Linked DNA regions of Struthio camelus. The protein of the gene in region 2 interacts with the protein of the main gene of each other region in a biochemical or structural test. Links are inferred from orthologs where the notes say so. Each region holds a gene or a part of one and is shown on either strand. Other genes may lie near its edges.

Region 1 (7,551 bases), on a different chromosome or scaffold from region 2:
TCTGCTCAGAGGTCACAGAAAGAGACAAACACAGAATAGTTGCAAAATAGTTGGCAACAGCTCCACAGAGGAAGGGCGTGGACACAAAAGAGTATTTTCAAAAGAAAACTAAGGTTTTTATGTAAGCTTTACTTCTCCTTGTAGTAAGTAAAATGGATTTACTTCCTTCATGGCAACGTGTATAAGTAGACAAGAACAGACTACGAACATACTTTTTGAAGGTGGAGATAGAAAGCTGTTTCAAGAAATAATATTCTAGCCGTTGACAATCCAGCAAGATTTTATGTTTACTGGCATTATATACAAATTTAAAGTACATGTTACAGAACTAAAGTATTCGTATGTGAATTAGTAAATCAAGAATCAAATTAGCTTGTTCCAGTCACGTGAAAAATACCTCATAGAGACAGATGCAGACAGTAAGGTGGGAAGATGCTTGATTTTTCCAAGGGGCCTTGTATTATCATCTTTTTTCCACTCATGAAATTCATGTTGCCAGTGTCTGGAGTGGAAGATCAAGGTCACTAGCTGGTCTCCCAGTTCCAAAGGATGCACCCCCTTCACTTAGGGTCTGGCCATCAGCCCATGGTTTATCTCCTGACAAACTAACCTGGGCCATTTTAACTCTGTTGATAAATAGTTCATTCTGGGTTGAATTACCATCAAACTCTCTCACCAGAGTGTAAAACTACTTTTCCTAGGCAGAAATCCTCAGGAAAACGTAGCTAGCTTATTCGCTGTTCTCTTACAGTTCTTCCTCCAGCACAAACGACTCATGTCCCAACTGGAGTGTAAATTGAGTTCTCAGTCCTTGGAGGGACTAGAAGGGGTACTGTACACATCCTATCTGCCCCATATACTTTGCAGCTGATAGCAACCTTCCAACATATTGAAAGGTGGCACTTTAAAAAACAAAACAAAACAAATGTTTCTTCATGTTAACAACCTTGCCAACCTTCCCTTTACAGGATAGGCATTAAGAAAGTGTGATCTTCCCATCATTAATTATCTTCCAGACATGCTGCCTTAAAGAGTTCTTATTCTCTTACTCTCTTTTGTTCTGCAGACTTTAGAATAAATATAGGTCGAAAACAGAAACATCGGGTAGCGCTCCTTTTTAAATCCCTGTCAAGCACACTTTGCCTGGGCTAAGGTATGACTGTAGTATCATACTAGTCTCATTGTAGCAGACTGTCTTTGGGAAAATGCTATGTCATATAGCCACCCAGGAACAGTAGGATACTGAGGCTCTGGCATTTTGTGACTCCAGTATAAGATCTGGCAGCTGTGGATGTCTCTAAGTATCTCCTCTCACTCCTTTCACAGACACTTGCAAGGTTTTTTTCTTAGATAAAGTCTCCCATCATATGACAGTGCTAATTTCCTATTTTTTTTCGTAAGTTTATCAGTTCTTCTATGTGGACTGCTTTGTGTGACCTGATGAGGAAGGGTGATCTTGTATTTGACCAATGCTGTTACCCCGTCCCACCTACAGCAAAGTATACGTAATATCTTACCTGAAGGAAAAACATGGGAAAACCAGCACTGGCCAATTTTGTCTTTGAATTTAAAATATCTTAAGAAAGTTGCTCTATCTTCTCTACCTTCTTGCTCTGTCTTCTGATCTTCTGCACAAGTGAGATGTTAGCTTGGTGCTGGCTTAGTACTTTCATCCTACAGTATAAAAATCATCCTCTTCCTCCCCTGAAAAGGAACAAGTTAATAACAAAGCATCATTTTGCCAGAACTAGACTGAGGAAAAAGGGGCTAGGGATCAATAGCAGAATTGATCCTCATTGTATTAGAAACACATATATTTAACATTAAAAATAACAGACCGGCTCAAAACTGAGTGGAAGACAACACTGCTCTAGCCTTCTTACCCATACTGCATTTCACTCTAGCCATCATGTGAATGGCAAACACTGCATAAAAGCGGAATCAGAAATTAAAAAAAAAGTCTTCTGAGACTATGTTTTTAAAAACAAATCTGTATCATTAATCTAACACTTGACACAAGGTTTGTATTACCTGCCAAATGTCAGAAGATTGGTTTCCAGTCTCACTAAGACAAGGAGTCAAACAGGTCATCTATCTGCAGATAGCAGCACTGGAAAACACCTATACTATGGAAGGATGTTAGACTGTGCCAGCCTGGCCTCTAGTAAATTTGCAGCCCTGCTCTGCAGACAATTTTAGAAAGCATGTTTTCCTGCTGTATCTGACATGTAAATAACAACAGGAGGAGGGCAGGGCTGCTTTTCCAAATCTGATATTTACATACAAAAAGGTCTGGACCCACGGCAACTACCAAAAAGGCAACAGGAGCAACGAAACTTGGCCAGATTGCCCCTTTCTAGCTAAGCCACAAACTGAACTCCCGTGACAGCCAGTCTGAGTTATCTAACAGCAGCAACATTGCTCAGGGGTGAAGTCAGACGAAACAAAGGCTTTACCAGACCCCAAAGAACAAGTATTTTAATTATATTCATACAGAGAAAATGTAAAATATCTTTTAAAGTAGTTCCTTGCATGTAGTTACGCATGCTGGACCAGGCCTATTGACCGTAGAAATATTGTGAAGGTTGCTATTCTCCATAAACCAGCACTGCAGTTGTTCTAAGCTGCTCCTTGAACAGTTTCATACCACACCAGACACGCATAGGACCACTTGCTCTGAGCAACCAAGTCAAGCGTGTACTTGTTTCTATTTAAATATATTAAATTCTATTGAAGCTTTGGGTTGATCCTGAGATAAGGATAAACTGTAAGTCCACAGCTGTACACCTCTGTGCAAAGGTAATTTGGAAGTTCTCCCTCATACGCCCTGCTCTCATCAAACCAAATGACAGCCCCTCAGGGCTGCGGTGAGGGGAATCAAGGGTGTAAGGGGGGGAGAAAGCCATCAGTCACTTGCCCCTCCCTTCTGCTACTGTCAAATGCTTATGCACGCAGCGAGTTTTAGCGAGAAGTGGCCGTGTATATATAGCCTTCCGTCTAGACATGAAAGATTGCCCCGTCTTCCCTGCTTCTTTTTTCAGTGCTGCTGCTACACGTGCCCTTTGTCTTTGCAGCTTCTACCACCTACGACAACCATCATATATTTCTCTGCTCCACTGACCCATTCTCTTCCATTTTACCGGCAAAATAGCATTAATTGCAGTAAAATCATTCTGTGGCCTCTAGGAATATAGCTGAATGCAGTTTTTTGCCTTTGTCTGTAGTTCTCATTTCTTCCTCTTTCCATTTGTAGTATTTACTTTTTATTAGGTAATAGTTTCATGTAAAAGTCAGTTACATTCGGCACATAACCCCTAATGCAAAACAAGCCCGGATGGGAGTGCAAAACCATAAGGTGTATATTCACAAAGAGAAGGCTGGGATATATTTGCTTCCAGCTTCACAGCAAAGACTCTTAGTTTACTCCTCATTTACACCAGTAAATCAATACGTAACACAGCACAAGTTTCCCAAGCCTCTGCTGGGAAGCGGTGGCCTCCTCACCACACTCACCATCCATTTTCTGCGGCCAGCACCTACTCCTCACTCCCGGTTCCCAGTTCCACCTGCCTTCGCCAAGCCACTACCCTGCTGCAGAAGTAACACAGCCACAGATTTGATGGAGAAAACACTAGAATTGAGAAGAGACCTTGAGCTTTGCAACTACAGAACAATAACATATATATTGCTCCATCAAATCCACAAACACAAGGCAGTAGGCAACTGCGCCAAGAGAAGCAGATGGATCTTAAGCACGTCTTTAGACAAGCAAGAGCCTCAGCACCTGTTTCTATGCACATACACACCCTGCTGCAACCGGGCTGCTTTTGGGCACGCACACTGGATCCGGCTGAACGGTTCGCTCGCTTTCCCAGCCTTAGCGACACCTTAGCATCCCTGCGTCCTGCTGCACCTTTGGGGCAGTTATGTTACCCCTGGTCTCTGAGTGAAGGGTCGCAGATGCTCAGCTGCCTGCTCAGGAACGGCGGAGCAGGGACAGGTAGAGGCACCTGCCGCTAGCCACACCGCTGCGGGACAGGGAGGAAAAAACAAATGTGAGAGGGAAACGGGGCTGAGCTATTGAAAGAGCTGCAAGCAAGGAAGGCACAAAGGCAAGCTACGACGGAGATGGCGTGAGAGAAAAAAAACAGTAAGGAATTGTGCTTTAGCCTCCTTCCCTATTTGTTTAGCACCTGCTCAGGCGAACGACCCGTTTACCCTGCGCACACGTTGGGCTGTCCGGGGGTGGACCGCACTCTCCTCGTCCAGGAGCGCTTGGGGCACAGCAGGGCCGCTGCCGGGCCGGGCCGGGCCGGACCCCGCCGCAGGGCGACGGCCGGGCTGGGCGCTGCTCCGCTCGGCGGGCACCAGGCCTGCGCCGCCCCTTCCCCGCAGAGCCTCCCGGCGTGGCAAACGCCTCGCCCCAGCCTGGTTTTTAGAGGCGCGGGGCTGGCAAGCGGCGGGCGCGCTGTTCGCCAGGCGGGGCCCTGGCCGGAGGTCGGTCACGGCGGGGGTGGGGGACGTGGCCGGCCCCCGCCGGGCCTCCCCGCCGCCGAGGGTGCGCGGGAAGAGGGGCAGGGGGAGGGGGCAGGCAGCCGCCGGCGCCGCTCGCCCAGAGCGGCGCTGGCTGAGGGAGCCCGTCCAAGCCCAGCCCCTCGCCTCAGCCCGGCGCGGCGGCGCTCGCCTCGCCCTCTGCCTCCAGGGCTCTTTGTGGGAAGGTGCCGGCAGGGGGCTGCAGCACCATGTCCTCCCCCAAGAAAGGCTTTTACCGGCAGGAGATCACCAAAACCCTCTGGGAAGTACGGGACCGCTACCGCGACCTGCAGCCTGTGGGATCCGGTGCCTACGGAGCCGTCTGGTGAGCGGGGCAGAGCAGCAGCCGGCGGCGGGGGGCCACGCGCCCCCTCTGCCCAGGCCCCTTCCCCCGCCCCCGGCGCGGCTGGTCCTGCCCCGAGGCGGGAGGGGGCTGCGCCGCCGGTGGGGAGCCGCGATGGCGTCGCCGTGGGGCTCCTGGCGGCTCGGCCGCCGCGCAGCCGGGGGTCGCGCCGGCCGCTTGCGCTTTGTTCCCCGACAACTTTTTTTTCCCGGGTGTTTTACCGCAGCCGGCCTGGCGGCGCCCGGTGCGGGCTTTTGGCGGGGGAGGTGTGGATATTTTTGTTGTGGTGGTGGTGGTTTTTAACGTGCCTGCCCGCCCTACACGTGTTTTCCTCGCTGGAAGGGGCAGGGGCCGGGGCGCGGCCCCAGGGCTCCCCCCGGCAGCAGCCACCGCCGCCAGGCGCCGGCTGCCCCCCGGGTTTGTCCCCTCGGCGAGGGGCTACCCGCTTCTGGGTTTTGTTTGTTTGTTTTTCCGCCTGTCTTTAAAGCTTTTGAAAAGCGGCAACTTTTCATCGCGGGGTCTGGCAGCGTTTAAACTAATGAGACCCTGGAGGCTGTGCTGGCCAGGGGCTTTCGGGGAGGTGGCGTCCCCCTTTTCCCTCGACGCGGTAAATGGCGGCGCAGGGAGGCCAAGCGACCGGCAGGTAGAAAGTCGAGGTCTGGGCGAGGCGGCGCCAAACATAGGCACCTGCTTATCGGCAGTGGGGTTTGCCACAGCCCCTTCGGCCCTCGCCCGCGAAACGCTCTTCCTGTTCCCTTAAAGCTCAGCTGTTGACGGAAGGAATGGTACCAAAGTGGCCATCAAGAAACTGTACCGCCCGTTTCAGTCTGAACTCTTCGCCAAACGAGCCTACCGAGAGCTGCGCCTCCTGAAACACATGAAGCACGAAAATGTGAGTTCAGTCATTAGCAGATCCCCTCAAGGTTGCTGCGGCTTGCAGGCACCAAAAAGAAGTGTGATCTGCTGCTGTCCCCTGATCTGCTGTCCCCTGCCTCCATAATACACCAGCCCTGGCAAGGCAGCTGAGTACCTGCATAGGATTCAGGAGTCTTTCAGCAAGACCTGTGTGTCTGTCTTTTGTCCGTCTGCCTTTTAACCTGCAAATACCAGTTCAAGCAAACTGGAGCGTCCTGTGGGACGCAGTTTCATTGCAGTCCATGTGCGTGAGGTTGGGTGGAGAAGGTTAGGACCGCGGTGGGATTTGTGCTCAAAGCTAGAGGGAGAGAGATTAAGAGACCCGAAATCTGAATCTCGATCACCACACGCATGAGATGTAGGAGAGTGGGAGAGTGTGGATCTGTACTGCTAGCATCTCTTTGCTTGAAGTTGGATGTGGCATGCACGCCTGTCTCTCGAGGAAGAGGTCTGGTCTTGCCTTTCATGAAGCGTTTGAAAGTTTCAGGTTTGTACTAATGGGAAATGGGAAGAGTTTACGAATGAGTAAAAAAAATTGCTTTAGAGGCATAATGTGTCTTCCTGGATGCTGAGATAAGGAGGAGAGATCTGTGTGAAAACAGTTTTGTGGGATGAAAGCATGAATGGAAACCAGGTCAGAAAGATCCCGGGGTGGGACTGGAAGATCACAGTTAGTGGCTTTAAATGCTATTTCTGAAGAGTACATGTGAAGAAAGAGTTTCAGGTGACTTTTAAAAAGATAGATACAAGAATCTATTTTAAAATGCTAATGATGTGGGAGATTATAGTTTTCCATGGAGGCTATTTGAGCAGAGCTAAGAGCTGGAAGGTGAGAATGAGAGAAGCCAGTAGTAATAGCAATAGCCAGTCGTTGCCATTGCACGTTGCAGTGTTAGCATTCTGAGTACCAGCAACAACTAGGTTCATTTCGAGGAATAATCTCTACGATATCCCGGCTGTCTGGAGAAAACAGACCTTACTGTAGGCTTATGAACCCGTGTGCCTGTTTACCTTTTAGTCTGACTCTTTTAACATATTTGATCGTTTTACTTGAGGAATCCTTAGAAATAACTGCTTTTTACCATTGTTGTATATATGTTAAAGAGTTAATGTTTAACTTGTGTGTCATACAGAGTCTTTCATACTCTCAGCATTTACTGTACTCAACATTTGGGAGCAGATCAGCTCATGCAGTTGCCAAACTCCTAACTGTCTTCCGAATTTTGAGATTATTTTTCTTCCATTTCTCAGAATAATTTGTTCTTCAGGTGGCTAGCGTTTTCCAGTACTGGCTCTTTTTGTGCTGCATATGCCCTTCAGGATAATACTCTGGAACCCTTCCATAGACTTGTTTGGCAATCAAAAGAGTCTAGAAGAAAACACACACTGAGGAATATGAGTGCAATCTGTACAAGTTACAGATGAATACGTAGGAAGGAAGGGAAGAACTTAGAGTCTTAGAAAACATTTTGGACCACAGAAATAAAAATTCGGTCTAGGTACTGAGGAAAAGTTTCATCATGACTTTACTCGTTAGAGAGCAACGAGTGAGTAAATGGTCATGCAAGGAATTCATAGGCATTGTGGAGACAGAAACCAACTGCTCCACCCGTCCAAGATGAGGCTGAAATGGCAGTACAACCCTTCTAGAGAATTTCCATCCTCCATTCCAGTCTCATACCATTCTACCAGGCATTTTGACCACTGTGAATGGGGAATAGCAGCAAAGCCCTTTAGGATTTCTAGCCCCTTGCTGATCC
Region 2 (7,799 bases):
CAAGGCTCTCCCTCCTATATTTTAAAGGAAAAAAAAAACTTTTGCTTTTCCTTCCTTTTGTAATAAAAAGACCATTTTACACCATTACTGAAGAAAGAGCTTCAAAGTGGGAAATTGAATCTCAGACAATTGTTTTAAACCGCCTGTTTACACAAGCCATTCATGTAGAGAGATTCCCTGCTGAACTGAATAGCATCTCCTGGGGCAACACCTTGGACAATTCTGATTTTGGTTACACTGCTAAAATAGCAGGAGAAAGCCAGGAAAAATAGACAGTACAGTGTCAGAATATTTTAACTACACAGAAGGATGACTACTGAAATTGCTCTGGATCTACAAATTAACAATTCCGACAACTGTACTGCAGAAACAATCACTGAAGCACATCAGCCTACACCTCCACAGAGCAAAGAAATCCAAGAAAACAGCTGCATGGTAAAAGCAGCGGAGATAAGGAGGGTGCTAAGAGCCCGTGCTGAAACTACCTGATCTTCGCTCCTACAGGGAACAAAACCGAGCCTTTTAAAAGACTTGTACAGCAGCAGTGTGTTCAGGTGGTGTTACTGCATGCGCTTCACAGGAGAGAGTTTTGTAAGCAGTATATACATTACTCACTAGATCACAGCAAAGGTCAGCTTCTGTCTGGCCTGCACCCTAGGAAGTCCTTATGTTGTGTAAACAAATCAAGGAAAAAATGTAGATGAAATAGTCCCAATTCAGAGCTTAGAGAGAACTTTACATTGAGACGTTGCAGGTATCTCCGTAAGTGGTTTTGCTGAAGAAGAAACGCAGCTGGGTTATACCCAAGAGAACAAGGAGGCAATGGTCCACAGCACGTGAAAACCCTCTGGGGTAACACCTCCTTTGCAGTTTTCACAGTAATGTGGACAACATCAAATAGTTTCTCAATAAACACGGCTGTAGACCCAAGCAAAACTGTCTCTGTTGCCCTTGCTTTAGTGCACAGAACCTGTTCTTGAGCTTTGTGCCTAACTTCATGCTGGAGCTGGTTGTTCACAGCTAATCCTCAAGTGTGTTTCCATTACCTGCAGTGACGCTTCCCTTTGCTCCTCAGGATAAGAGCAAAAGATCCTCGGTGCCCCAAGAGACAAAACCATGTGGTACCCAAAGGGCTGCGGGAATGATCAGCCAGCAGGGCCTGCGGCCCAGAGGGAAGGCAGCTGGCACAGGGCAAGGCACAGCAGCGTGTCCCAGTGCCAGCCACTTCTGGGGCAATGAACTTTGGGCAAAGATGTAATCGCTTTCTCAAACACGCGCCAAGGGCATTTTTGAAGCTGTACATTCTCGGAGGTCTAGCAACTAAATTAATCCTTGTGAAAAGACAACGATTAAAAGCATGTGAACGCGTCTCTCTCCATGAACTCGGTGTCCTGGGGAACCTTGTGCTCGTTGTGACCACTCCGGTCCCCGGCATCTGTGCTTGGGGGACACCCTCCCTCCTACGCGTACCACAACTGTGCTCTGGGCTCGCTTCCTGAAGCTGCTTCTTACAAAACTCTCCCTGCCACCCTGCAGGAGAGTGAAACGAAACCCTCCGCTTTGCAGGGATGCGGCACGCTCGCACCGCGGGCCCTCAGCACGGGAGCCGACCCGGCGGGGAGCCGCAGCCCCGCACAGACAGGGCAGCCTGGGGGCTCCACCGTCCTGCACGGACGGGGCGGCCCGGGGGCTCTGCACGGACGGGGCGGCCTGGGGGCTCTGCCATCCCGCACGGACGGGGCGGCCCGGGGGCTCTGCACGGACGTGGCAGCCTGGGGGCTCTGCCATCCCGCACGGACGGGGCAGCCCGGGGGCTCTGCACGGACGGGGCGGCCCGGGGGCTCTGCACGGACGGGGCAGCCTGGGGGCTCCGCCATCCCGCACGGACGGGGCGGCCCGGGGGCTCCGCACAGACGGGGCGGCCTGGGGGCTCTGCCATCCCGCACGGACGGGTCAGCCCGGGGGCTCCGCACGGACGGGGCGGCCTGGGGGCTCCGCCGTCCCGCACGGACGGGTCAGCCCGGGGGCTCCGCCGTCCCGCACGGACGGGGCGGCCTGGGGGCTCCGCCGTCCCGCACGGACGGGGCACGTCGCCAGCCGTCTGGAGGACGAGGGCTAACGCCCGGGTGCCCGGCGGGGCAGGGAGCTCCTCTAAACGAGGGGCTAAACGCTGAACACGCGTCGTCGGGGATCCCCGCGCAGCTCGGGGGCGCAGGGCAGGGAAAATAAACTCCCGCCGCGGGAACGACACCCGAAGGAGAAGAAGCGGCCCTGCGCCGGGAGGCATCTCCGCCCCCCCCCCCACCCCCGACCCGCTCGGCTCCACCACCCCTTGAGCAGCTGCCCCCCGGGGAGGGGGGGCAGGCGAGGCTGCCCGGCCCCTACCTTCCAGCAGCACCTCCTTGCCGGCCCGCTTGAGCGCCTGCACCGCCTCGTCGTGGGTGGCATCACGCAGGTCGGTGCCGTTGACGGCCAGGATGGCATCCCCCACGTAGAGGGCCTGGGTCTGGTCGGCCGCCAGCCCCTTGAAGATCTTGCTGATGAGGATGGGCATCTTGTTCTCCTTGCCCCCCTTGATGCTGATGCCCAGCCCGCCCAGCTCCTGCTTCAGCACCTTCACGCACCGCTTCTTGTTGGAGACGGCCTCGGGCACCTGCTCGGGGGGGTCGGTGAAGGCGGTGCGCACCGCCCCGCCGCCGCCCTCGGCCCCGCGGCTCCCCGCCGCCGCCGCCGCCGCCCCATCGCCGCCCAGGCCGTTGTGCGCCGCGCCGTCGGGGCGCTCCTCGCCGCTCAGCACCAGCGCCTCGCCGCCCAAGTTGGCCAGCACTTTGTGCCAACGCTCCCGCACCAAAACTTCCAGCCAGCCGCTGCGCTGCCCCCGCCCGCCGCTGCCGCCGCCGCCCGCTGCCGCCGCTATCGCTACCGCCATCTTTGGAGCATGCTGGAAACGGCGAGCCACGGCGGCCCCGGCGCGGCCCCGGCGCACCGGACTTCACCCGCGGGGCGGCGGGCGCGCTCCCTCCCCGCGGCGGCGGCGGCGGCGGCCGAGCGGGGCGGAGCGGGGCGGAGCGGGGCGGAGCGGGGCGGAGCGGGGCGGAGCGGCCGCCCCCTCGGGCCGCACCGCCCGCCCCCGCCGCCGCCGCCGCCGCCGCGCGGGTGCGTGTCAGCGTGGGAGCAGCCCGCCCGAGGTGGCCAAGGCTACGTCCGAACAACCGGGTGGGCTGCCGCTTCCCAGCCGGGCCCACTGATAAAAGCAATCGCCGAAGTACTCACGGTCCCCGTCTCCCGACTCGGGAAGAAGGGAAAACGCAGATTACCCCGTTCTTTACTCTTTTCTATAACGGGTGGCTCTCCTCGGGTGGAGCCTGCCATCATACACCGCTGGAGGGACCTCCTGAGAGACAGTTAGCAGCTCGCCTTCTGAGTTAAGGGCATGGAGCCGTGAGGGAAAATAAATCAATGAGGATCTGCGGGTATTGGCAGAAGAGGTTTAGCTAAAACGTGAGTTTGTTTTCCCCTGTGTGAAGGAGAAAAAGAGAGGCCTCTCTTTAAAATAGGTGGATTGAAACACATAGGTGGCACAAATATCCTCTAAATTTCAGTTGTATCAAAGTAGAATGAAAGCTGTGGCAGTATCCCTCAAGGATGAAGGTAGTGAATGACAAAGTCAATGGGAGCTGCACAGTTCATCCTACCCCAACCGCCCCCCCCCCCAAGCATCACTCCCGCACTCGTTGAACGGTGTAGGATGAAGGTAGTGAATGACTGTCAGGGATGCTTTTGTACGTTTTGAGGCTGTTTTCTTCACCCTTTCATGACCAGGTTTTAGGGCCTGAGAAGGCTGTGTTTCCCTCTTCGCAGACCCGCGTTTCCCATCCTCCTGGGAAGCAGTTCAGGTGCCGGTGCAGGCCTCAGGGCTCCAACTCGGGCGCAAAGGAGGACAACACTGCCGCACTGAGGACCTGGACCAGCCCTGGCGTCGCTGGCTCTGTGGCGGTGCCACTCTGTGGTCCCTGCATAGCTCCTGAACTGCCCTTTCGGTGGCCTGGCTCCCGCTTCGTTCATGAGCTGGATTGAACCGCGCAACAGCTCTGGACTGTTCAGTGTGTGTGGGAGCAACGCTTTGGGGGATTTGGGCGTGTGGTGCACAGTGAGCGGGAGGTACAGCTCCCATTAATATTAATTCCCCTTAACGTGCTCCTCAGAGCACGCGGGGCCTGAAGTGCAGCATCTTGCTCCTCTCTAGAGCAGTGCCGTTCACTTCTGACGCTGCAGTTTTGCTTCTGGGTAGGCTCTGGGTACACTTCTGGGTACGCTGCTCTCAGGTTAACGGGCTGAGCAAAGGATCTGCATACTGGCTATTCCCCTCGTGATCGTGCCTCGATTTAGCAGGGTCTGTAGGACCACAAAAAATGCGTTCCCTTCCCAGCAAAAGCCGGTGGAAGGGGGCCCCTGTCCTTCATCGGCAGCCTGTGGTGCCTCCTCCCCTGGCAGGAATGCAAACCGGGGTGGAAGGAGAGCGCTAACCCACAGGCCGTGGGTTATTCAAGGATAGCAGGTGGGTGGAGAAAGCAGACCGTAGACAGGTTTCTTAATTTCTCACGTTAATTAATGCAAGGTAGAAAAGCTATAATTAAGTATTCAGGGCTGTGAATCCAGAGTGTCCCACTAAACCTGAATAAGATGTCTAAGCCCTAAGAAAGGAATAGGGTGTAACACACCCTGTTCTCCAGTATTTCCTGCTAGCTAATTTAGGTAGCTCCTGTGCAGCATCCTGGGTGGTTTTTTTAAATCCCATTCCAAAAGGTGCCAGGCTTAGAGAATTAATGTGCTTATTGGGTTCCAGCAGCTTCAGTTACTTGAGAGCAAGGATGAGGAGAAAAGGAAAGGCGTGCAAAAATTAGGTGTTGCAGTGCGGACTATCACAGCACTCAAATTGCTCTGCAGCTGTAAGTGACCAGGCCAAGTTACAAAATCAGGCATTTCTGTTTCTCAAGGGATTAGCTCTTACCCATTATTTCATATTCTTTCCTATGTATTACTAAAGAATCAATGCTACTGCTAATGGAGATGTGTCTCTATGTATTTTTTAAAGTCATTCCAGAAAATTTACAAGAAAAAATGATTTCTGTCCTGTCATTAAAAAGTAATGCAGAATGGAAAGGAAATTCTTAATGCTTCGCACTTTTCCATCAGTATACGATGCAGCTGGCCCGTGTTTGCTCAGAGTGAATGGTTTTCCTGTGGAGTTCCCGTGGAACAGTGTTGTATAGACAATTCACTGCATGTCACTGAGAACTGTGCTTGTTCCAGCTATTTTCCTTTCCCACTCCAGCAGAGATAAATAATAACGTTTCCCAGTGCCAGCACCTGAGGTGTTAGTGCCTCATATGAAAGAGTCTTTATAGCAATCTTCGTTGCCTCCTCCTCCCCCTTCATCCCCACCTTGGAACTGTAAGAAAATAGAGGTAATATTGTAGTTTTAAAAATATAAGTAAAAAGAAGATAGTGGAAGGGATGCTAAGGTACAGTCACAAGGCAAACAGTCTCCTGGGTTGTCTCGCAGCCTGGAGACAGGCTGCAGTCATTGATACCTCAAGTCTTTGCTTCTCTGTCCCGGGAGGTGCTAGCTCCTATTTGCATGCACCCCAATAGCAACTTGTGGCTGCTGAGTATGGGGAAGGAAGAAAAGGCGTGATGAGACTTCTCCCCTCGATCCCAGCCAACATTACCGTCCTTGACCCTGCCTCAGGTCTGTAAATCACATCTAGAAGAGCAGCTTCTGAAATGCAGGTTAATATAACAGGAGCAGGCGCAAAAGATAAAAACAGATTTGTACACAGGTGTATAGCTATTGAGTAGTCAGGTTAGCAACAGAGAAAACTGCTACTGCAAAGTCCAGTGCTGGTCCCCAATGGTTTTTAGGGCACGACAGGGTGCAAACTCTTAGTCTCAGCCAAAACTTCTCCTCCTGGTGATGTATGTGACATAAACCATAATAACCCCACTGCAATAGGAGTGTTCAGGGTAGTCGTGACAATTTGCGAGGAAGCCGAGGTGTTAGGTGGGATGAGCAGAGGGCTCAGTACCTTCCCTGCTCCAGCCTCGAGTGTCTAGAAAGGCTTCCAGTGCAGGCACAGCTTAGAAAAAGTTGCTCTAGATGACCTGCCCTTTTGAAAGCGTCTACCACAACAAGCGTACCCTTTCAAACAAGTCAATCATCTGTTACCATTTATATTTTAGGAGCACACAAAAGCCTGAACTAGATCACGGCCCCTTTCATTCATGTAATATAAACAAATTATTAAGCCAGATAATGCTAATAGCTGCTGCTGAATCGATCTTTGGTCTACGGACACCTGGGTGTTCATTTAAGGCCAATGGGCTAGGCGGAAGAAGTATCAGCAAAGTGGAAGAAGAGAGGCAGTTGGAAAACACAGAAGCTACCTCCAGTGACAAAGATCACCAAAGTAAATCCAGGTCACAAGCAAAGTGATGGTACCTGAGGAACTCTTTGTTTGCAGAAGCAAGGGGAAGGGCTTAGTAGTTTGTGAGCATGCGAGAATAGAAAATATAGGAAAAGCAATGCAGAAATGGTTGTGACTGTGACACTGAGGAAGTTCTTCAGACACAGCTTTGACTGGAGGGACGTATTGGAGACAGAAATTCAGGCCACTGTCTGCTCTTCTTGTTTTCTCCTGTTTTCAGGCAAAGAGGTCAGTATGCACGTCTTATGTAAACAAACTGACTTTCTGACAGCAAGAACACTGCAAGGCCACATATAGGACTTTTGAGAGACAACTCAAACCCATATAGCGCTGCTGTCCCTCCTTCTTTTGTTGCCAGCCTAGCAACAATTATTCAAAAGCAGTTCATCTGAAATTCTTTTTAACTGGAAACAGGAGGAATGACAAGAGTTCAGACAAAATCAGGCCTGGATAATGACGTTCCCATATTGTTACCCTGACATCAACCAGTACGGCAGACGGTTCTGGACAGGAAGGAAGGACGGCATTGGAAGCCCAGTGCTGGAAGCCTGACAAGTAATGAGAGAGCTGGAAAGGAGTCCAGTTCCTCCAGTGATCCCAAACATTGCAGGAGCCAAGTTTAAGTAAGTCCTGCTGAGGAACATGCCAAAACTATCCCTCCTCACTCCCCCAGGGAAACCACTCCTCTGCGTGCTGGGATGCAGCAGTCCCGGCTCCAGCCATGATGCGGATGTCTCCATTGCACCAGGAGGTGGACCTCTCGCTTGACCTGGGTCATCGCTTGCCCGAGGCATTGCTAGTGGGGGCTTGCACCCTCTTAACCGCTCTGAGCAATCCACCCCTTAGCCTTGAGGGAGCCTGCTGGCTTTCAAGTCAGCGTGCGGCTGTCGTTACTCATTGTCTCTGCTGGGGTTATGAAGATGTCAGGAATGCCTGAAGACCTTCATAATCTAGAGGTTGCATTATGGCTTATTTTCAAAACTGTGAAAGCATTGTTTTTCTTCGCCTAGTTTGAAGCTAGCCAGGTTTTTACGCACATCATGGCATTTAAAAGTAAAATGAATGCACAGTTGCCTGCCAGCAAACACTTTCTGGATGCAGTTTTTCAAAGCAGGAACCTACTTGTGCGTACATGAAAGAAGTATGCGTATGAAATTTGTATGTGTGCCTACCTGAGTCACATGTCAGCTAGGCAAACTGAGAAAATGTTCCCACAGCTAGCAAGTTATGGGCCAGGCTATAAATGAGCATATTTCTATTCTGCACGTCCAACTTTGGCACAAGTGAACACAAAAGCAAGAGCCCGAGAGT
Region 3 (7,006 bases), on a different chromosome or scaffold from region 2:
CATCTCATTAACCAATGGCTTTTTTTATCACACTCCTTTAAACATTTATGCCATTTGGATATGAATAATATCATCAAGCACTATGAAAAAAATCATGGAACCTTCAGTTGTTATCTCAGGAAATAAATTATCATTATAACCTGATGAGTTAAAAGCCATCCTAAAGGTGAAATACAGTGCTTTTAAGTATCTCTTTGAGATTCCAAATCACTAAAAAAAAAAAAGACTAGTCTTAAAAAAATTGTAGAGGTAGATTTTTAACTGAGAGGAAAATTTTTGAGACCTCCAAAAGTATTAAAATGAATAAGTGGACTTCAGTCATTTCCAGAGGTTTCATTTTATGTCTTTGGTGTGAGATTTTACCTGACGTCCTTTAAATTATCTAGGATCAAATCGTACTGAAGCAAATGTAGTAAAATGAACATTACTGGTGAAGCTGCAGGGCTAAAAAAGTTTGTGCAGTATGGTAGCCAGGAGAGTCCAACTCATATTTTTCTTTGAGCATTCAGTACCTCCGAATGAAGAAAGAAAAATCCCAAAAATACAGCAACACACAAACAAACGGCTTTTGATCTCATTCATAAAGATATTTACATCCCATCTTCACAGCATTTTCCCTAGGACCCAAGGAATTTAGATGTCTGAAAAAATTAATAGTTTTTAGAGTGATTTAATTAGTTTTATGTTATTAATAGTATGCCAAAACATTCCTACATACATTACGTCTGTCACTTTCTTTAGAACAAAGAGCATTATAAAATAAGGCAGACTCCCTTTTCTATAAATGAAACTATAGGTGAAACTGCCATACTACATGAAATTATGGCTTTTACTGGCCCATGATCTACAGTAGGATATCTATGATTACAGAAAACATTAGTATTAAGTGTCCTAATTGAATTACTTCAGCCAAAAGTAATAAAAAGGTCATAGTATACCATAACAAAGCATCCTCAAAAATAGAGACTTAGAATTCTACTCTAAAAAAAAAAACATTCAGTCAGGAATTGATGTCAAATTCCTGGTTTAAGATTAGGAACTTCATGTTCAATTATTGTTTGTTACTGAGATACTAAATACACGTTGTTCTGCTGTCTTGAGCTGTCTGTTCTCATTCAGAGTTTACATGTACCTTTGTCACCCACAAATGGGTTTTATCTGACCTAAATTTAGGCATCTAGAAGACAGGCCTCTAGTCAAAGGTAGGAACCTAGGGCCTCCTCTCCACTGGAGTTGACAGAGAAAATAGAGCATCTCCAAAGGGCAATTCATGTCACTTTTTTTAGAATGAGATGTGTTGGAGTGATAGGTGCCTGTCCGCCACAGAGACAGGGAATGACTAACTGAGGCTGGAACCCCGATTTTTGGTAGTTAGTGAGAAGAATCCCACACCAGTGACAAAAAAAGTACATATGTTTGCAAGAGTTCAGTCATGGCATTGTCTAGTTGACATATCCTGCAAAGGAAGGCATAATACCAAAATATGATCATTTACAGATGATAGCTCCAAAACCAGTTCAAACTACATGTATTAATTGATGTTTACTCATGAAACAGACAGAACAACGTCCTCCACCTTGCTTCTCCGGGTTGGCAGGTTCTATCATTTTCCTACAGCTGAGATAGCTTTATACATGGTTGCTGTGACACCAGAGCCCAAAGAACCATGAACTGAAGTGTTGTGATTGATATTCCAATCTCCACCCCCACGCGTGTTTCCCACCTAGCACAGATCCAGAAAGCTTCCAGTATTTAGCACAGTTGGAACAAGTATACTTGTTTGGGTTCTCTGCTCATGTCTGCACATCTGGGAATAAGACTCCTGTGATTTTGCTACTAATGGATCTCCAGGGTATCGGCTGTCCCAACAGTATCTCCACAGCCATTCTGGACAATTTGTACGGTTGCAACGATTTCCACTCAGGAAAACAAAAATATCAAAGTAATTATAATCATAGCAATAGTTCATCTATCTCTTTGGAATGCCAAGGCAAGAGAGAAAAATAATTTCAGTTCAGCTTCGAATTGTAATGACTTTCTGTTAAGCCCAGTCATTTTGGGTACTGCATCCTCTGTTTATCACACTGATACATTTATAAACAGCAGTCTTTTCATCCCTAGTCTTTGTTTTGCTAGGCTAAGCTCTTTCAGCCTCTTCTCGTAAGGCACACTTCGCTACCTTTAACATTTTTAGTATTTTCCTGCACCTGCTTTCATTTTTCTCAAACACACTTCCTGAATGAGCTGAGTACAGCATTTCTGGTCAGATCTTATGCTGTCCGCTTTTCTGTCTCTACTGGAAATACCTCAGTCGATGCATCCTAGGATCATATTTGCCGTTTCACCAGAAGACCTTGAAAGTATAGAAATGCTACAGAACCCTTAAAACATCTTCACTTCTCTGGCTCTCACTCCTACGCTTTGAGGCACCATTGTGTGTTAGGCCTTGGAATGTAAAGTACTTAAGATAGGGGACCTTGTTTATACAGAGCATATGTGCCTAATTTTATATATGGTATATCATTTCATCAGCATCAGTTTGCTTTGTAGGATCTTGGCCTATCTCCTTAGTCTATAAATAAATAATGACAGTTTTATAAATAACGCAGTTTCTAACCAGCTGAAACTGTGTTATTTTTGTAACTTTTGTCAATCAATAGAGCAATGTGAATGACAGGCAAAGGTTCTGCCGTTTTAAAAAATCTGGTATAACAATAAATAAATATAGTTGCACGTAAGACCCACATAAATATTTTGATGTACTAGCATAAAGTACTTCATACAGTATTTCAGAATATGCACAAAGCATTTACATCTATGGTAGGTCTGCAAGTGTTTTTAGCTGGCTGTTTAATGTTCTCCAAGTGTAAATAGATAATCAATCATTCTTTGTTATTGTTTTAAAGAATAGTTTGAAACTTGATGCACAGTGAGTGTTCGTACTGCCTGTTCTTTTTGTTCCCTTATCAATAAAAGCTTTAATATTAAAAAAATTGCATTGTTTTCTTCTAGCTGCTAGAGTCTACATATTGGCCTCTATTGTCATTTCTGAAATTTTTGGTTGCTGAGACAGTTTAGGTGCAAGCCTCCAAAGGAGACAGAAACTGTGGGAAGTAAAGAGCGTATGAATCTGTTTAGCAAATGAAGACACATATAAACACACTTTATTGTGAAGAGGAGAATATGCATTCCCATGCTGAGAATTATTGTACCGTAGTGTAGAGCTTCGAAGCACATCTATATGTGAAAACGAATTTGAATTTCTCCAAGCTCCTGTCCTGCTCACTCACAGGAAGCTTACGGACAGCAGTTAAACTCCAGTCCCTATTTTGAAGCTTTATGCAGGGCAAAAGCACAAGAAAACATTGTCTCCTTGTGTTCTTGTGAACGTCAGGACGTCAGCTACACCATTTTCCCACAGAACATGGGATGAGGAACGCTTAGCTATGTTGTCATGACTCAGCCTTGCAGCGCTCCTGTCACAACTAGGAGGACTCCTTTCCTCAAAATCTCTTACATGGCATGGATAAAGAAGCCACGGGATGGTGACAACCTCCTCTGGCGACAGCAGGGCAGTGAATTTGCCACCGTGTTGCCGGTCAGTGGTCCATGGTTGAGGAACATCTCAAGGAGGCCACCAGGGCTTCCCTCTGCCCCAGGGGGAAGTATGGCAGGACAGCGAGGCACGATCGCTGGGGAGAGATCCTCAGTGGTGGAAGAGGGCTGTCCGGTTCCCCCAACTTTTGCTTTCGGGATCTGGGCAGCAGGCTTCTAGCAAAGGACCAGGGTGCTTCTCCCCGGCTGGGGAGGGGCCTTCTCCCCCTCGCCGGGCCTGCCTGCCTGCCCGCCCGCCCCAACAGAGAGGAGCCTCCAGCCCGGCCTAGCTCCCCTCGGCGGCCGGCCAGGCCCCTCGGCCCGCTGCCGGCGGCCGCAGCGCCGCCTCGGGCGGGAGCCAACGGGCGGCGGGAGCCAACGGGCAGCCGCCGCCTGCGCGCTGCGCTCCCCCACAGGAGGGGGAGACATTGCCGGCGAGAGGAGAAACTCCCCCTCTCCACCTTGCTGATTGCCCCCCCTCCTCCCTCTCCCCCGCACCCCGCCGCTCTTCTCCGCCTTCCTCCAGCGGGGATACGGCAAAGAGGCAGCGGGCGGCGGAGCGCGGCCGCCTCCCTCTCAGCCTGCCGGTGCGCGGAGCGGCGGGCGCCCGGGCTGGCGGCCACACCGCCCTCCTCATGCCTTCGGTTACCCCGGGGAGGGGGCAGGGGAGGCAGCGCGAGAAGCGGGGGAGGGCTGCGCGCAGATGAATGCTGCTCCTGCGAGATGCTGCACGCCCAGCTCCCAGCCGGAGGCGGGTAGCAGCCTCCGCCGCCGGCTCCTGCCTTTGCAAGGGCTGTTGCTGCCACTGGACGCAACCTTCTCCCCGATATGGAGCTGCTGCTGCTGCTGCTGCCGCCACCGCTGCTGCTGGAGTGAGTGAGTGAGTGACGGGCAGAGCTGGCCGGCTGCATGGATGGATGTATTTAGCTTTGTGAAGATTGGGAAGCTCTCCGGGTAGGTGCTCGGCGCTGCCCGTGCCCGTGCCCGGCGGGGGCGGGAGGTTGCGGGGGGCTGCCGACCCCGGGGCGCTCAACTTCCCTGGCGCCGGGGCGGAGGTCTCGGGGTCGGGCTGCGGGTTTTCAGCGCTTGCCGCCCCGGCACCTGCGGAGGGTCACGCCGGTGGCTCTGTGTCGTTGGGTTGTTCCCCTCTGCCCCCATCTTAAAAGACAATAAACGTGGTCCCGCGGCTGGTGCTTCTTGCCGCGGCGCAGCTGGGGTTACCGGGAGCGCTGGCCGTGGTGAAACGGTCAGAGCAGAACTGTTTGGGAAACGCAGAAGCGGCGGCGAGAGCCGGGACCGGGCTGGGGCGGGTTGGGGAAGCAGGCGCTGCCTCCCTGAGGCCGCCGGCGGGTGAGGTGCGGGGGGCGGCGGTTAGCGGCGGTTAACGGTCGCCGAGGGCGCGCGCTGCCGGGGGTGGGGGCGGCGGCCAACTTGTGAGGGCGCGGGGCACCGCCTCGCGGCGGCGGCGGCTCCCTGCCCCGCGCCTCGGCCCTCCCGCCCCCCGACTCCGCGCCCGGCGATATTTTTAGAGAAGTGGTGAAATCATCGTCAGCTCTTTAAGCGCTGCCCCTCTGCCTCTTCGCATGATAGGTGCTGGGGAGCAAGCGGGTTTGGCGTCTGCCATCCCTCGCTGGCTAGGCATGCACTTTTTTGTTGCTGGAACGGGTGTGAGGCGTGGACTTTTTGTTGCTGAAATGGGTGTTTAATGAGGATGTCTTTCCCTTTTCGAATAAGTCTTCCTTTTAATAGCCTCCGAGTGCTGGTCTCTGTCTGCAGACTGTTGCGTTCGCAGCTAGTTGCCAGGCCTAAGGCTACGTAGATGGACAAAGAAGCGCAGTAGCCTCTATTAAAAATGTTTTCAGTGTAGGTAAACACAATTGGAGGTAACACGTCTCAATAACGTGGGAAATCACACTTTATCTCAAAGATACTGTATAAAAGTGCTCGAGTTGCAAGATTTTTCTTTTTTTCTTTTTCTGTGTGTGTGGATAATCCTCCTAAAGGATTTAGCTTTGATCACAGTAACTAGGAGTGTTCTGAATTCTTACGATTCAGTGCTTAGGACACCATAGTTACCATATCCATTTCTGTTTATGAAGCATAGACTGAAATTGGATGTTGTACAAAAAGGAGAAAGGCCTTGTTAAAGAAATACAAAAGGCAGCTTGCTTCAGTGACGTTCAGATAGGGAACTTGTCAAAATGACAGATGGTCTTTAAAAACAAATATTGCATGGCTGGAAGTTGTAGAATGCCACAGGTGCAAGCCTAGCCTTTATCCCCCAAATTTCCCACCATTGCACCTGGCTGTGATTACAGCTCCACTTGTGGCAATGCCTGCGCAGAACAGCTGCTGTCATTCAAGTACATCATTGTCTCATCCTGCTCAGAGCAATTTTACATGATGTGACGGCTAAAACACTAGTGGCCTGCTCAGCTTTCTTTGATTCGTGTTTCCAGCTGATGCCACTAGAGCTGCAACAGCAGTAACTACAGTGGAAACTTCGAGGAGAGGGAAAATATGCTAGCATAGATAAGGAGCAGGTCATGTAGTATGATTTTTTTTTTCCAGATATATTGAATTGCTGGGCTGCTTCTATTTATTTAAGAGCAGAGTTTTAAAGCCCCCCATCCCCTCAAACCTTCATGTTTCATATTTGTCACGCCTGAGTTAAAATCAAAGGGAGAGAAAGGGATGTGCTGTATGGAAATATTATTAAGTCAGGAACATGGGAGTTTTTAGATCTATTTTAAGATTCAATCTTAAATATTTTTTTGGTATGTACACTATCTGTTGACTTTCCACAGCCTCAAAGATGCAGATGTTACCATTCCTGAGATTTGTATTTAGATAAAGGCAAATCATAGTATTTCACTGGAAAACCTGAAAATTCTTTCTGCAATTAAATCACAAGTTTCAAGGCTTGTATCAAGCTTCATTTGATTCAAGGATATGAAGTTTGTGTATTCAGGGACTGAGTTCATCTTCTAGACTGCAGTAAATCATTTCTGTACCGAGCTACTCTTTTTGTTTCTGAATTTCTGGTTGTTAAATGACCATAATAGTTTACATGGGACTTTACTTTGCTGTTTCCTAGGTAACAGCTAGGTATCTGTTCCAATTTTATGAGCACTTCGTGGAGCAGCCACGTTCCAGTATAAACCCCATTTTTAATCCCTCTATAAGTCTGGGTTGAAAAACTAGTTTGCCTGGAAATGCTGATTCTTCCCTTGCTGTTAGAAGGAAGATTTTTTTTTTTAAAGAAAGATAGGATAAATGGATCTTGACTGAGAGTGTGATCTTTCAGGCAGATTACATGCATAAAGTTGTTGAGCGCTTGGCTGCTACTGAATATTTTTAAGCCTTTCAGTCATTTTTTTTTTTTAATTTGCTGTGAGTTCGGAGCTTCTCA
Region 4 (7,696 bases), on a different chromosome or scaffold from region 2:
TATATATATGCATACAAATATATATATAAATACATATATGTATATATCTATATATATGTATTTATATAGTTGAATTTTCTAAAAGCCTTTGATAAAGTTCTGCACCAAAAGTTTTCTAATGAACTAAGTTGCCAGAGATCTAGAAGACAGTTTCTTTTATGGACTGAAAGCTGGTTAAAGCGTAGGAAGAAAAAGTGTAGGGCTTAATGAATCAGCAGCGTGGTCTCTAGGGCTTTGTGCTTGGTCCAGGTTTGTTCAGTATCTTTGTCAATGACCTGGAGAAGGGTGTGTGCAGAGAAATCTCCAGGCTGGCAGATGACCCTGAGCTTTTCAACACTATGCTGAAAAGGTGGCAGATGATCTTTAGTGTAGTTTCATGTAAGGTGATGCAGCTTCGGAAAAATAATCTAAACCATGCCTATGTGATACAGAACTTGAAACTAGCTGTTTCATTCAGGAAAGAGCATGTGTTTGGCATTGGTGATGGAGTCATTGTTGACAGGCTACTGAAGTCATTTCTGCCTTGACTGGAGCAACATCCGAAAAAGCCAACAAAATGAGGGGCATCATCAAGAAGGCTATGCAGAAAAAAGCAGGGTGCATCTTTGTATAAAACCTCCATGCATCCCTGCCGTGAACACCGTGTGAAGTTCTAGTCTCTGCACCCAAGAGGGACATAACGGAGTTAGAGGAGGGTCAAAGAGAGGTGAGTGAAATGATCAAGAGACAGAGCAGGGGCTAAGAGGCTGGGACCCTTCAGTGTGGCAGGACAAGGCTGAAGAAGAATGCGATCACGGCTTACAGACGTGTCGAAGTGTCAGATGGTGTGAATGCAAACTGTTGCTCATGGGTCCTGCAGCACTAGGGACACTCAACAGACTTGATGGGAGCCTGTTTTCAACCAGTGAGTACAGCTGGTATCAGCTGGTCCAAAACAGGGTTGGACAAATTCAAGGACAATAAATGGGAAATAAAGGACTAGGCAGGGATATACCCTCTAGCACCCCTAAACAACAGTTAGGGGTGCTGGGGGAATACAATGGCAATGCACTGCAGAAGGTGATCCAGCTCTCATGGTCTCTCTAAACAGCATTGCCTGTCACCACCATCAGAGACGGAATATTGGGCTAGACGGTGGTTGGTCTGAGCCACCAGCTCATTTCTTACAGTTGTACTCTGCTCCCAATTTATGCAACACCACCAACTCAGTTGATCAACTCAACAAAAGTTGGTCAACTCAACTCAACAAATCAACTCAATTGATTTCTCTGTGTTGCTCCTACTTTCTGCTTGTGAAGTGAAACCAGTACCAACAGTGATCCTAAAAACCCTGTATGACTCTGTAGGTCAAAAAATTATTACTGGGAAAACCGTAACAGTCAGTAGCCCTGGGCTTTCCCAGTTCTGGTAGAGGGCTAAATCAAGAACAGCCAAGTCAGCCCGTAACTCAGCCGACAGCGGGAAAGATTTCTGCGCCAGGCTGGAACAGGAGGAATCCCTCCCTTTGGGGAGGTTTGTTGGAGGGGTGCTGCTGCTAAAGGTGTGAGGATGAAATTCTTCATGTCCAGACTGCTGGAAACTTTCAAGTGAAGGTTCTGATATCTGCCCTTCTGAAACGTCGCGCTCACCAGGAAGCGAGGAACTACCGAAGAACCTAATTTAAATACGGTGTTGCACATATGCAAAGTCAAATAGAGAAATCTATTCATGCAAAATATGGTTCTGTGTTTAGTGATAAAGATACAGATAACGATAATATCTTTATACAGATAAGATACAGATAAGACAATATCTTTAGTGATAAAGATAAAGATAAACTTCTGGGTAGCAAGAAAAAGAGATGCTCTGCACGTCTATCACAATATGCCTTTGTCTGAGGAATACTTCAGACACCAGAGTCCCGTGTTTGTTATCTGAAGAGGAAGGTTGTTATGATATCTTTGCTACATGGGAGCATTCATGTCAGATTACTTGCATTTGTTGCCGCACTATGAGAAAAAAAGAGAAGCTCTAATTTTTTTTAAAGTTCCCATTTGCTTTCTTTCTAGCACACATTTTATGTTTCAGGAGCAGCATTACCAAAAATAAATATAACAAAATGTGATGTCTGAAATTAACACTAAATTCAATTCACTGAAACGTATGGCGTTTTATTAACTTTTCTACATGGATGATAATAAAAAAAAAATCGAGATCTTGACCTTTAACACTTTTTTGTTTTAAAAGTTTGCCATGAACAAAGTTTGTCATATTGGTCTAGCTAAAAAAACAGGACTCACTCAGATCCACCACTTGATTGCTATCTTCTGTCTGGTAAAACTCCTACTTACATCAAGTCACACTTTTTTCTTCCAAATAAAATTTTCAAGCCTGGCTTTAGCATAAAGAACGTTAGTCAGTGATTATAGTTGCTAGCAAAAACAAAGCTTACAGCAAGTAACAAGAAACGCAAGTAAGTTGCATTTTAATTATTACAACCATTTTTTATCTACATCAGAAAAAGAAAAAGCAGACAAATCTTGTCCTACCTCAGCTTTTCTGCCTTCTGGTGTCTTCGGTATTTCCTTCTTCTGCTTTTTGTTGTTCACAACTTGCAGCTTTGTTAGTGCAAAGGAAAAACACAGAAACTTGAATCAAAAAAACACGAGTGCTATTTATGCAGAAGCCACAGAGGGGTGATGAGCAGTAGGAAGGGGAAGTAAATCCTTATTAACAGATCTTATATTTTCTTAAGTGAGAAATGTTTTCAGCTCAAGGAGTGGTACTAGTAATCACATGGCAATGTTTTATACTTTTCATCCAATGAAAGAGGCCCTGCAGCTAAGCAGTGATCTTGGACGCCTTTTGGATTTCTATATTTGGGCTCTCACTTCTGTTTATTTGCTTCCGATACTCACAGTTGATGGATGTTTTTGGAAATCATGCTATAAAGCTTAACACGGATCATTAGGGACGTAGTTCTTGGAATTATTAAGACGACACATGCCAGCGGTTATTAGTCAGGCTTTTTACTGCAGAAAGCACATCAAAAACATCATCATAAGCAGGCAGCCAGGAGCTGATGGGTAATGTGACTCAGCCCACACTTCCAGGGTGAATTTACAGAACCGAAGGACTAGTTTTCCTTGAATTTTCATAGGACCTGAATACACAGTACTGTTAGGTCATGGACACGTGTCTGCAGCAAATGCCTTACCGCCCCTTAACATTTTACCACTCATCAGTGGATCGGCGTTAAATGGGTGCTCCTAGCCCACTGCAATTGAGCAGTAGGTATCTGTGCGCGCTGTAGGTGTAACAGGTTGGTTATTCCTCCTCTGTGGTGTCAGCGCACACCGGCAGATCAGATGTATTCAAGTGTCTCTCGGCTGCTATGTTTTATTTCCTAGCTGCCGCAGGCTAGGCATCCACGCAGGGTCGTTACCATTGCTCGGTGAATGGAGAGTCTCCTCCTAAAACCTTCTGAGCACCTACATTTGTAGTCGTCTATGCTCCCAAGCTCTCCTGGTAATCCCGCTTGCAGCCTACCCTACATTGCCACCTGTGTCTGATTCTCATTTATAGCAAGATCCCTTCTCTCTAGCTGTATAAAGGACCTTTAGACCAGGTAAAAATTGCCCTCTGGGCGTGCTCCACATGGCAGGGGGGCTGAGTGGGTGATGTGCAGTGTCTGCAAAGACCTGTGTCACCAGACTTCACAAATCTCTGCATAGAGGGGGGCTTGCAAACACAGCTCAGCATTTTTTACTTCATGAAGCTGAAAAAGGACATAGGGAATCATGTGCAGGACTGCTCCAGCTTAGCTAAGGGTGAGGCGAGGACCTTCAGTCTCTGGAGCAAGCTGTGAACATTTGCCCACGTTTGCCTTGACAGTGCAAAGTCCGTTTAAAATGCTAGCAATCCCTTTTAAATGAATTTGCGAGGTGCAGAGTGACAGTGAATTAGGGGTCCTCTTGAGACCGCTCCACGGGTGCCTAGCACAGACATTGCAAACTCATGCGGCATGTAAGGCCGTAGGTTTGTGTCCCTTCCCAGTTGTGGTGATGCTGGCTGGTATGGTTACTCTCACAGCTGTCTCCCCATCTGTCAAGCGTTGCTGGCAGAGCCGCACAAGTGCATGTCCCCGGCCACGCTTTGGTCAGTGAAGCAGGGTACCTTAGATACCTGAAATAGGGGGTCTTCGCTAACGTAGCTCATTTGAACTGCAGCAGGATAGGAAATGACCCCACAAGCTGCTTGGCAGGCAGATTTTGGGGCAGAGACCTTTAGGAAGAAGCTGTGACGTGCAGCACGGCCCCGGCCAGAGGAGAACTGTGCCCGCTGGAGCCATTTGGAAGATGCCCCAGTAATTCAGACTGCCTTTTATCTGCAACAGGCAGAGATGCTGTGATGACTAATGTTGGCATTGCAATAGCAGCCTGATGACATCTGCATCACATGGCACGCTGCGATAATTGCACTGGGACTGATAAGCAGGTTGTTCACAGACACCAAAACATGTGGAAGAGTTAGGCATTGATCACATTTTGTTTTCCTGAATGCGTTTTGAGAATGCCTCTTTCATCACGTGACACGCTTGCCCGGATAATTTGTTACATCCACCTTCTTAAAAGGCCTGCTTTCTGGAGAGTACTATTTCTTCTCCTTACCAAAGTAATGCTGTATTTCCTTTCCAGATTGTTTCAATAAATGGGGTCAGATGCCAACTCACCCTGCACCTGATAAGCTGGAGCTGGAGTGACTGTCTGGGATTTTTTAGAAACTGTCGTTGAATGACTCAGCTTCCGAGAGGAGTTTAGCACGTTTTTTGTTCATACAAACTTCAGTAATTCTGCAGAAGCCATCTCAATATCATGAAGAATAAAGGATTCTCATCGCAAGACACTGTGCACAAAACACATTCAACAGTTACCAGCCTAGATTTTCTCTGCATTTTAAGTCCCATTAAATGCAGAGATGGTCCAAGAAGCAGAAGCAGTGGAGCTGAGAGTGCAAACCACTAGGCTAAGCTGCAGTTGTGCTCACTCCTGCCTCTGTTTCTGTTCCCTTTTGCACTTCTGGCTCCATGGCAGCCCAGCTGCAAGAGAGAAAAGCAAGAGGGGGTGACTCATCCTTTCCTTTGCCCTCCTTTGCTTGCCCACCTCTGCCCCGGCACAGTGCCGGGGCGCTGCCCAAGGACGAGGGCTCAGCTCCCGCCAGCCCGCAAGCAAAGCCACCGTTGCAGGCTTTGAATCCCCGTCGCGTGAAGCAGCTGAACTTTGGACCTGAGCGAAGCATTCCAGGCCAAGAAAAGGCACAAATCTGAATTATTTCTATCAGCAAGTTCAAGCATCCTTGTGGCCTGAGCGCTCCCCGATGGGAGCGCCAGCGGAGGAGCCCATCTCCTGCGCTCACTGTGGGGGGCACCTAGCTCGGCAGCATGGACATCCCAAACTTTGAGGCATCGTGGTGCTGCACATCACGCTGCTACGTGCCCTGTAGGGCCAGGCCTCCCCCTGTAGCTGTACTGAAGTTGAGGTGATTGGGGAATTAATTCTCCAAAGGGGCAGTTTAGGCATTTTTTACCCCAAAGTGGTTTTCCCCTCCCAGGCACCTCTGCAGGCCACATCCTATCAGACCTGCTGCTGGGCTTCCTCCTGCCATAAGGCTGTTTCAAACGTCTCCGTGCAGTGACTTTCTGGCCCCCATAGAGCTGCTGTTGCTGCTCTGGGCAGCAGCAGAGCAGGTATCTCATTGCCAAAGCAGTGCCTGGGGCCCATGGGATGATTTGCCAATTCACTCTTCTCACTGGCTAGAGAGAAACGCCAGGTTTTGCCCCCTAAAGTGAAGGCAGCTGCTGTTTGAGGACAAGCACGTTGCCTGGTGCATCCATCCGTGGTTGCAGTCACGCGGGGCAGGCTGTCCTCCGCTTCACACTGCAACACAGGAAGCAGGGAGCTGCCTTTTTTGGCCACGGGGATCTGAAACCCGCCTGGGCAAGGCTGGGTGTCTGACGCACAGGCCCATCCAAACAGACCTGTAAAAGCACATCGCGCTGCTCGCAGGGCGTAGCAGGCAGTCGCACGCCAGCTCGTTCAGTCGGGCAGCCCCGCTGCCGCCCGGAGCAAACCTCGGGGCCGTGCACGGGAGACCTGGCAATCCCCAGCACCAAGGGATCTCCTGTGAGGCATCCAGTGACTCACACAGTGCAGAAGAAGGAGTCCATATATTTTTCCAGTTGCTCAGGCAATGTTTTGCTGTCTGCAGGCGTGAACGTCTAGTGTCGGAGTTTCACCTTCACATGCCAATAGATTTTTTGGCAGAAAGGGATATATCAAACAAACAGAAAGGATTACCTTCACTGAAGATTTTAATGCCTCACGTCTTCAACACAGCAGCTTAGCCTAGTAACACATATCTATTTCCAGAGACTAAAATTACAAAGCTTACATTCATTTTCTGTGCAGTCGAGAAAAAAAAATAGCATCAAATGTTAGTAGCTCATTTGCTGTCAGCCATAAGGCTGGATAGCTGGGAAGATCAAGGTGACTACTGCACGAGGAAGGGGGTAAAGAAGGAGGGGTAATCTTAACAGGCATTATTCGAAAGGAAAAGCACAGAAGGTTTTCAAGCTGTTCCTTTTGCAACATCAATAATGACATCTTTTTTAATTGCTTGTAGTCTTTTCTTAACAGTTTGCTGTTCCTCATTAATATACTAATGAAGGCAGAAGAATGTTAGCATATATCTGGAATGGAAAAAGACATCTAGTATTGTCTACATGTAAAATAAACTGCCTTTTTAAAAGTATAAAGTACTAAAACTGGAGAAGTTCTTTCACTGCCCCTCTAAAGGTGGTGTGTGCCTTGGGAAAAATTGATTGTCTTCAAAAGCCGTGGAGCCAATGGCAGCTGGCAGCATTAATGCACTTCCTAGAGTTTAATCGATCCAGTCCTCAACTGTGAAAAGAGTGAACTCGAGCAGGACAGAAAGCCAAACACTTTCTAAGGCCTTCATCTAAAGCCCATTGAAGTTATTGGAAAGAATAGAGCCTTTTTTTGGATTAAAACCTAAAGAAAACAGCCCCAGAAACTGTGACTGGAAAAAAAAGAACAGTGGTGTTTTTTTTTTTTAGGAACTAGCCAAAAGCATTTCAGTTTTAACACATGCAAGGTTGTCAGTGTGCCAGGAATATTTACTAATATTCTGTCTTCTCTGCATAGCCTGTCTTTCGAAACCTCTCTACTTCTCTATCCATCTCTCTATCCAGCACCATGTGGGTGTCACAGGGACCTTTTGCTTGTGTTATGCATTTCAACTAATTGCACAAACTGCAATTGCAACCTCTGTTATTTCTGTTTTCCATTTTATGTGTTAGACATGACAGAGTCGCACATTGATGGGAGTATGCAAGTGCAGAATGTGAAGGATTTGGCAGTGATTTAGTTACCCCTCTCTTAAGATATGACCACCTGTAGACTTATCACACATACATGTTGGCATGTGTATGGCATTTTACTGTAAGTTACCTACCCCCAAACCCGTCTTTTGATCTGTGTTTACCCCACTTTAAATGTTCTGCATGTCCCGTGCTATTCTGCTGGTCTCTCTCTTTATACACATCTAGAAACCAGAAGCAAAGCAAGCTTCCTCTCTTCCCTTTTTGCTGACTCTTCTATAATAGCCGTAACCCAACAGCTGGATAAAAACCACCAAC

What was found.
Region 1: the proteins of SNTB1 (region 2) and MAPK12 interact in a test that uses a peptide from one of them, tested with the Homo sapiens proteins (2 studies listed by IntAct, with this or other methods). The link is inferred for Struthio camelus from reciprocal best matches to the Homo sapiens genes SNTB1 and MAPK12.
Region 3: the proteins of SNTB1 (region 2) and FRMPD4 interact in a test that uses a peptide from one of them, tested with the Homo sapiens proteins (2 studies listed by IntAct, with this or other methods). The link is inferred for Struthio camelus from reciprocal best matches to the Homo sapiens genes SNTB1 and FRMPD4.
Region 4: the proteins of SNTB1 (region 2) and CYSLTR2 interact in a test that uses a peptide from one of them, tested with the Homo sapiens proteins (2 studies listed by IntAct, with this or other methods). The link is inferred for Struthio camelus from reciprocal best matches to the Homo sapiens genes SNTB1 and CYSLTR2.

The regions. Positions count from the first base shown.
Region 1 is NC_090942.1:22,879,242-22,886,792, reverse strand, and holds the start of MAPK12 (mitogen-activated protein kinase 12), read left to right. Parts: upstream 1-4,548; 5' UTR 4,549-4,742; coding exon 4,743-4,858; exon of another isoform or gene 4,859-4,935; intron 4,936-4,949; exon of another isoform or gene 4,950-5,414; coding exon of another isoform or gene 5,415-5,532; intron 5,533-5,638; coding exon 5,639-5,768; intron 5,769-7,551. UniProt on the Homo sapiens protein: Serine/threonine kinase which acts as an essential component of the MAP kinase signal transduction pathway.
Region 2 is NC_090943.1:159,111,241-159,119,039, forward strand, and holds the start of SNTB1 (beta-1-syntrophin), read right to left. Parts: upstream 3,015-7,799; 5' UTR 2,930-3,014; coding exon 2,386-2,929; intron 1-2,385. UniProt on the Homo sapiens protein: Adapter protein that binds to and probably organizes the subcellular localization of a variety of membrane proteins. May link various receptors to the actin cytoskeleton and the dystrophin glycoprotein complex.
Region 3 is NC_090942.1:141,381,805-141,388,810, reverse strand, and holds the start of FRMPD4 (FERM and PDZ domain-containing protein 4), read left to right. Parts: upstream 1-4,006; 5' UTR 4,007-4,507; coding exon 4,508-4,548; intron 4,549-7,006. UniProt on the Homo sapiens protein: Positive regulator of dendritic spine morphogenesis and density. Required for the maintenance of excitatory synaptic transmission. Binds phosphatidylinositol 4,5-bisphosphate.
Region 4 is NC_090942.1:192,358,822-192,366,517, reverse strand, and holds the start of CYSLTR2 (cysteinyl leukotriene receptor 2), read right to left. Parts: upstream 3,005-7,696; 5' UTR 2,898-3,004; intron 2,783-2,897; exon of another isoform or gene 2,598-2,782; 5' UTR 2,529-2,597; intron 1-2,528. UniProt on the Homo sapiens protein: Receptor for cysteinyl leukotrienes. The response is mediated via a G-protein that activates a phosphatidylinositol-calcium second messenger system.